2 linked regions of the Oryctolagus cuniculus genome follow. The protein of the gene in region 2 interacts with the protein of the main gene of each other region in a pairwise test. Links are inferred from orthologs where the notes say so. Each region holds a gene or a part of one and is shown on either strand. Other genes may lie near its edges.

Evidence for each region. The genes of interacting proteins can lie anywhere in the genome.
Region 1: the proteins of ZBTB9 (region 2) and MORF4L1 interact in binary tests that used the Homo sapiens proteins (3 or more experiments, as listed by UniProt). The two-hybrid records come from large-scale screens. The link is inferred for Oryctolagus cuniculus from reciprocal best matches to the Homo sapiens genes ZBTB9 and MORF4L1.

What each region holds. Positions count from the first base shown.
Region 1 is NC_091443.1:105,825,172-105,828,734, forward strand, and holds part of MORF4L1 (mortality factor 4-like protein 1), read right to left. Parts: intron 2,376-3,563; coding exon 2,350-2,375; intron 1,953-2,349; coding exon 1,864-1,952; intron 685-1,863; coding exon 583-684; intron 1-582. UniProt on the Homo sapiens protein: Component of the NuA4 histone acetyltransferase (HAT) complex which is involved in transcriptional activation of select genes principally by acetylation of nucleosomal histones H4 and H2A.
Region 2 is NC_091436.1:135,695,434-135,699,754, forward strand, and holds the start of ZBTB9 (zinc finger and BTB domain-containing protein 9), read right to left. Parts: upstream 2,837-4,321; 5' UTR 2,551-2,836; intron 2,367-2,550; 5' UTR 2,295-2,366; coding exon 867-2,294; 3' UTR 1-866. UniProt on the Homo sapiens protein: May be involved in transcriptional regulation.

The DNA of each region.
Region 1 (3,563 bases), on a different chromosome or scaffold from region 2:
CATGGTGTGGATGAGCGAGTCTCTCAAGTCACCATCCCCAAGCAACCTCTACTCTCCATTCCTAACCCCAAATCTCTATGTTTCTTTTAAATTGCTTCATTTGTCCTACAGAATTCCTCATGTTCATGAACGAATTCTTTATGTTCAACATGCTCCTCCTCTACTAAACATTCCCATTCCTGAAAACCAATAATTACACATAGAAGATTGATTAGACTCAGGTTCTTTTGGAGATCATGAAATCCACTTTGTAGGTGGTACTGAGTGCTTTCTGTCTGCATTCTACCACCCATACATCGGTGAGGATATTCCATTCTCAGTGTATACAACCTGTTCTGCACTTATCAACTCTCAGAATCATTTCTGACCTAGCAACCCCCGAAATGAATTATCTTCACCTTTTTCTAAACCATTAACTCATAAAGCCAATATATTTTGATAACTCTTCAGTCTCTGAACTAAATATTATTCATCATATTGTAGAACTTCAAGTTTATTTTTTTTCCTTTTTGAAGTAACAGAAGTGAGTGGCAAGAAAGAGCATGAGCACACAGATCACCATCTGTGACGTTTTCAAGTTACCTGTTTTTGTCTTGTAATTAAGTCCCAGTCATCAACAAGCCATGGTTTGAGCTCTTCAGGAATCTTTACTTTAACTTCCACTCTGTTCATGAATGTTTCTTCCTAAACAGAAACAACAACACTATCAGAAACCCATCTTTTCTTGCTGAAGAGTAACTCTAGACCACAGGGAAATTTTGACCTTTAAGGACACTAGGAATAGATCAAATGCTTGCAGATGCCAAATATACAGGCAGAACTGTCCATTTAAAAATAGTACAACAGTACAAAAGTAAAAAAAAAAAAAAAAAAAAAAAGTAAATAAAAAATAAAAAAAAATAGTATAAAAGTAAAGACAAAAATCTTGGGGGAAGGGCTGGCACTGTGGCATAGCAGGTAAAGCTGCCTCCTACAGAGCCAGCATCCCATATGGGCGCCAGTTTGAGTCCAGGCCGCTCCACTTCTGATCCAGCTCTCTGCTGTGGCCTAGAAAAGCAGAAGATGGCTCAAGCACCCTACACCTGCATGGGAGACCCAGAAGAAACTCCTGGCTTTGGATTGGCCCAGCTCCGGCTGTTGCAGCCATTTGGGGAGTGAACCAGAGGATGGAAGACCTCTCTGTCTCTCCCTCCCTCTGTATCTCTGCCTTTCAAATAAACAAAATCTTTAAAGCACAGAACTTAGAGGGTTTCATGGCATCTCTTTTGGGTTCATTAAAGCATCTTGGATATGTCTCGAATAGGTCACTTAATATGACCTAAAAAAACTATCCTGTCCTCCAACACTGAAGAAATACTTGATCTTGTGTGTAAACACGAACTTGTGGCCGGTGCCACAGCTCAATAGGCTAATCCTCCGCCTGCGGCGCCGGCACCCCGGGTCGCTCCTCTTCCTGTCCAGCTCTCTGCTGTGGCCCGGGAGTGCAGTGGAGGATGGCCCAAATGCTTGGGCCCTGCACCCCACGGAAGACCAGGAGAAGCACCTGGCTCCTGGCTTCAGATCAGCGCAGTGTGCCGGCCGCAGCGGCCACTGGGGGAGTGAACCAACGGAAAAAGAAAGACCTTTCTGTCTCTCTCCCTGTCCACTCTGCCTGTCAAAAAAACAATTTTAAAAAAATTAAAAAAAAAAAAAAAAACACAGAACTTGTACAGTAAACCCCTGATGATGAAGTGATGAAGTGTGGAAGTCGAGAGCTATAGGTGAAATTAGGATTTATATATATATATAACCTCTACCCAAGGGCAGAAAGGAGGAAGGTTGTGTCTGACTGAAAATTCTAATAGTTACACAAGAAAAACTCACATTTTCAACAGTAGGATCTACACGGGCCCTTTTCTTCCGAGGAGGCTGAGGGGTCTCACTAGTACTGCCGCCATCTCCATTTCCAGGTGCTATTAACACACGGGTGTTGGGCAGAGGTAGGGGGATTTTGTTTAATAACTTTTTAAGAAAAACAGCCTATGACAGATCCTGTTACTTGAATCTAAGTTAAAAAATTATTTTCAGTGAAAGCTTAACTTTTAGGATCAGCTCCACCAAACATTATATAAGCAACACAATATCACTATGTTCTATCTATTTAAAAAAGTTATCTTTTCTGGGGAGTCATATATTTAAATCTTTAACAGTTTCTCATCAGCATAAGGATCATCAGACTTAGGTCTCTCCCACTGTGTATCTATCTCAACACTGCTGTGACACTCATTTGCGACCATCAAGAAACATACACAGCAAATTAAAAGATGTTATAATGGTATAAATCAATATTAAGAGAGTTAACATTCTTACTTTTCTGTTTGTTCTTTTTGGTTTTCCTAAAAGAAGAAAAGGAGAAAAAAAATTCAGTAAAAACAGCCTTTGTTCAGATCTCTTTTATCACAGTTAAATTCAAAGGTAGACTACCTTGGGTAAGATGAGGCAGTAAAAATTAAAAAAAAAGGGGGGGGGGGGGCTGTTCAGAAACAAGGATTTTTATTAACAGAATAACCCAATACATGGATGATAATTTCTACCAAAGTTGTATATTTTAAAAGTATGCAGTTTATAAGAGTATTACATTAAAGTTTACATTACTAATTCTACCAAGAAGCTTCAGTTTTACTTTCCCTACTGTTTTTGTTCCCCTTCCCAAAACATTAATTTTGTTTATAGACTTGCCTGTCTTAAACAGCAATGTTACTCTACTCTCATTGGTTCAAACTTAACTTTCTCTTCTCTATAATCCTTCCATTTAAATATTATACCCTCTTCTACCATATCTAGAACAAAGCTGATGTCTCCTTCCTATGTTATTATCTTTAGTAAAAACTCATGCCTTTTTGTAGTCTATCATATTACCCAATTAGCTATAGCTGTTTCGAGAACCCAAGAAAACAGCTGACAAAGCTTTGATTATGGATTACTTTTGTAGGCTCATTCCAGAACACCTGAATTTTACTTTACTATAGTTTTAAAACACCAGGGGTGGGGAACATCCAAGCCAGACTGAGGCCCACAGAATCATTTGGTCTGACCTTGCTGAGGCAATTGCAGGTAAAACACAGAATTCAGTAAGTCTATAGCAGGCTACTTTTTAAGCTGATAATGCTATATGGCCCAGAAATGATGTTTTAAACATCCAAATGGCCCTTGGCAGAAAAAAATGGTTCCCCATCTCTGTAAACGGGGCCAGCGCTGTGGTGCAGCAGGTTAACACCCTGGTCTGAAGTGCCAGCATCCCACATGGGTGCCGGCTGAGATCCCGCTGCTACACTTCCGATCCAGCTCTCTGCTGTGGCCTGGAAAAGCACTGCAAGATGGCCCAAGTCCTTGGGTTTCTGCACCCACGTGGGAGACCCAGAAGAAGCTCCTGGCTCCTGGCTTCAGATCGGCGCGGCTCTGGCCATTGCAGCCAATTGGGGAGTAAACCAGCAGATGGAAGACCTCCCTTCCTCTCTCTCTGCCTCTCTTTCAAATAAATGAATCTTTTAAAAAAATAATAAACAATGTATGTTATGAATTAT
Region 2 (4,321 bases):
ATGGTCCCACTGTGCAGTTCCTCTCTAGTGTTCAGCATGCGCTGTCTCGGCCCTGAGCTCCTCCGACCATGGCAACTTGTTCAGAGAGCAGTGGTGCTACCCTGAGAGCATGTTAGGTCAGCTGCCATCTCCTGAGTTCAATGATCACATTCCAGTCACTGTGATCAAAATACGAGTTATTAGTTGTGGTCAAAGGTAGACAAGAGGCACTAATTGTTGAGGGAATACCCTCCATCAAAGAGGGTTCTAGGAATGACATGTGGAATGCTCGGCTTAAAGTGCTCACTACAACGTTAAAAAAAAAGTGTTGGAAAGGTGCCTACTGGTGAGAAAGCTAGGTACAATCTGAGGGAACAAAGCGTACATAAGAACTCTGCTCACATCATTCCAGCCATGATGAGGGAGAGCACAGTTTAGAGCTGAGTCTCAATTACTAGACCTCTGAATGAAACATATCCCTGACTGGAGACCAGCTCTTTAACTCCTCATGGAGACCGAACAAAACACTGACCACTATGTACGTCTTTTTGCTGTTCATTGTTCCCTCACCAAATAACCTTCCAATCTGAAACCTGGTTTCCTCCATGGATACTACCACTATAAAAAAGTCTACTATGGGCAAGTGAACAGTTTAAGAATGGTCTACAAACTATTTCCTGTAGGGTGGTTAGCAAAAACCTGAGGTGAGATGAGAAATCTGAGTTTCCAAATCTGGCAGACTGAGGCCTACACCCAAGGACAAGAGATCCGTAACATATTTATCCACTGGGCATGATTATGAGATCCAGGTCTGGGGTAGTAAAGGGCACGAATCCATCAGCAGCAATGGCTACCTTCTCCTACAAGTTGGTGGATGGCCTCAGCTGTCACTTGTAAGTCCAGTGGGCAGTGGCCCAACCCTGGCCCTTACACAGGTCTCGGTGACGAAGGAAACAGGCGTGGACCCGGAACCGACGGCCACAGTGGGGACAAGCATGCAGGGCTCCGGCATGGGTCTTCATGTGCTCTGTCAGATGGTGCTTCAGTTTGAAGCGCTTATTGCAGATACCACAGCCAAAAGGGCGAAGGCTGAAGGTCAGCATGATGTGGCGGTCACGCTTTGGCTTCACTGCAAAGCGCTTCCCACACAAGCAACCAAAGCGTTTTCCATCCGCAGGGGGTGCCCCGCCTAGCTTCACGGGACCGTGCACAGCCTGCCCAGCTCCCCCGGGCCCTCCACCGCTGGACAGAATTTCATTGCCATGAAGATCCACTGGTTTCCAGGATGGACCGCCTCCCCCAGATGCTGCCCCTACGCCTGAGGGCAACAAGAACCCCAGCTCCCCACTCCCCTCCGGGTCCCCTCCAGGAAATGCTTTGGTCTCCTCCTTTATTCCTCCAGACTGGGTTCCACCTCCTGACAACTCCTCCTTAGACTCAAAGGGTTCCTGCTTAATGTAGAAGATTTTAGGGGGCACTGCAGCAGGAGCGGCAGGAACCTCAAGTGGTGCATTTTCGCCCTCTGGCAGCCTGCGGGGAGTAGCAGGTACGGGCAAGGCGAGGGATCCGTGAGGACGGGGCAGACTCCCTGATACCCTCTGAGGCTGGGGCGTCTGCGAGAGGGTTGCTGACCCCTGGCCCTCCTCGTCGTCTTCCTCCTCCTCCTCTTCCTCCTCCTCCTCCACCTGAATCTGTAACACCTCTCCCAGTTCACTCCCCTCCCCTCCGATGGGGCTCTCAGTAGATGCAGGTCTCTCGGCAGGAGCGGAGGGCTGTGCTGGGGCCTGGAAAGGGGAAGAGCGAATGCACCAGCCTCCTGGAGAGGATGTGGTGGAAAGAAGTGCATGGTAGGAGGAGGCTCCTCGGGCTGAGATCCCACCACCTGAAGTCTCCAGCTCCTTAAGGATCTCCGAGCACTGGTCTACCACTTGCCACATCTGAAGGCCGCTGGCCACAAGGAGGTGGGCGGGGAGAGCATCCAGTGGCAGGCGGAGGTGCCCTGAATAAATGAGCTGCAGCAGCCCCTCGAAGGCATCGGCTTCGATGACGCTCGGGAGGGTGAGCCGTGGCGCATCGCCCAGAAGCAGCTTGTCGTGGAAGTAGGGAGAGGCGGCAGCCAGCACCGCTTTGTGGGCCCTAAGTTCCCGGCCCTGCACCAGCAGGGACACATCGCAGAACTTTCCCTCCAGTCTGTGGCGGTTCAGGGACTCCAGCAGCGCTGAGCTGTGCTGAGGGAACTCGATCTGGATTGTCCGCGGTGCTGAGCTGCACACTGCGGAGGGGGGCGCGGCAGGCAAAGGCGTCGAGGTCTCCATGGCCTCCTCGGAGATCCCAGAGGGTCGGCAAGAGGAGACGGAGTCTGGGGTGGAACCCACGTGAGAGGAAGGCTGTGGAGCAAAAGAGATGGGGTGCGGGGGTGGGGGGATGTCACACAAGCCCCAGAAAACGGGAACTGTATCTCCGCAAACAAATGCCCCCCTCCCACCTACAAGTAGAAACTCTTCCGGCCAGTGGCTGTGTCTGTATACCAGTCCCGCCCACCAAGAAGACAAAAACAAACAAAACACGAACCCCTGGTTTTAGCTTCCAGGCCTTGTGGAAGATGAGGAGGTCCTTCGGCTACCAGCCTAACCTCACCAGCTCCGGGTCGACTCCCGGCCCGGCGTTCCGTCCCGCTTCGCTTCACTCACTGTGCCCGCAGTGGCCAGCTCCCGGGTAGCCGCAGCCACGGGGATATCACGAGCCCCGGACCCCAGCCGACACGCCCCCGCCGTCACACACGCGGCGAGGCCCTCGCAGCCTCTCTGCAGCTACGGCGCCGTCTCGGGCCGGAAGCCACCCCTCCCCGCCGGACGCCGACGCCGGGAGAGGCGGGGGGGGGGGGGCACAACTGCAGCCAATCGGAATGGGGCGCCCTACAAGCCCTGTGTTGATTGGTTGCCCGGGCGAGAAGGGGCGGGCCGGCGGCGCCAGGGCGCGAGCGGGTGGGGGCGTCTCGGGGAGCTGCGAAGGGGAAGCCGTGGCTCGGGAGACCGCAGCCCGGAGAGGGCGGGCCGCCAGCCGCCCGCAGCGCCGAGGTGCTGGGGGACGAGGTGAAGTGGCACCTTGTGTGCCCCCGGCCCGGCGAGCAAGGCGTTGCCGTCCTCGCCGTCCGGGCCGGGGAAACGGCAGTGCTGGGTCTGGAACTCAGATTAGCTGAGGCGCCGAGTGCTCCCCTGCAGTCCGCACGGAATCGTGCCCTTCACCAATTAAACAAAGCCAGCTTCGTTTCTGGGTTCTCTTATATCCCGTCCTCTTTGCTCCTGGGGGTAAGTGAAGCAAGCGGTGGGTGCCAGTCGGCTGGACTGGGGAAGTCTGGGCCGTACGAACCCCCAGACTGCGTCTCCGCGCGGGGCAGCGCTTCTGTGCGGAGACCGGCATCGGGCAGGGATGTCGGCTTCCCTTCCAGGCTGTCCGCTCCCTCTCAGAAAATTAAAAGTCCTGTCACCCCCAGGCTGAGAAAGTTGGCACAGCGATAAAAGAACAATCTCCGTTTATTAAACATGATTTTTCTGTTTCACCACACACTCCAGAAAAAAAGGAAATGGGGCTGGGAGTGGAGAAAAATGGGCAGCGGTGGGGGATAGAGAAGGCTGGGAGTGGGTTGGGGAGGGAGAACGAGAAAACAAAATAAAACGGGTAGGAAGAGCATCTCCCTACCCTTAAGGTGGCGGGGGGGAGGGGGCCAGGAAGCTCTGTACAGGGGGGTTGCCCCCAGCCCACACACACACACCCCGGATATGTACAGTACAAACCCCAGATAATTACAACAGCCAAAGAGGAGAGGAGGAAGGGGGCAGGAGAGGGGAAGGCTGAGGTGGGGAAAGCAGAGGGAAGGGCACAGGGATAAAATTTCACATATTTACAACTTTTATATAAGTATAAATTTGGCCCCGGCTGGGTGTATGTGTGTAGGGGGATGGGACTGAAGGGGAACTGTCCATACAAAAGAAAGAGGGGAGGAGTCTGGGAAAAGTCTCAATACCAAACGCAAGAAGGGATGAGGGGACAAGGCTGGGTAGGGGACAGCAGTCAGGGAGGAGGGGGTACCAAGGAGGGGCTTCTTCCCTCCCATGGCCTACCCACCCCAAACCCCATCCATCCTACCTCCCCTATCCCGCCAGAGAGCTATGTACAGAGAAACACCGAAAAATTGTGGAGCTGGCGGGAGGGAGAGAGGTGGAGGGAGATTGGGGGGGGGGGAGGATGAGAGGGAAGCCCAGCCCTGTCCTACCTCCCCCAGGGGACAAAGTCATGGAAGGGGAGCCCCCCAATACCCCTCCTCCAACACAGGTCCCCCCAC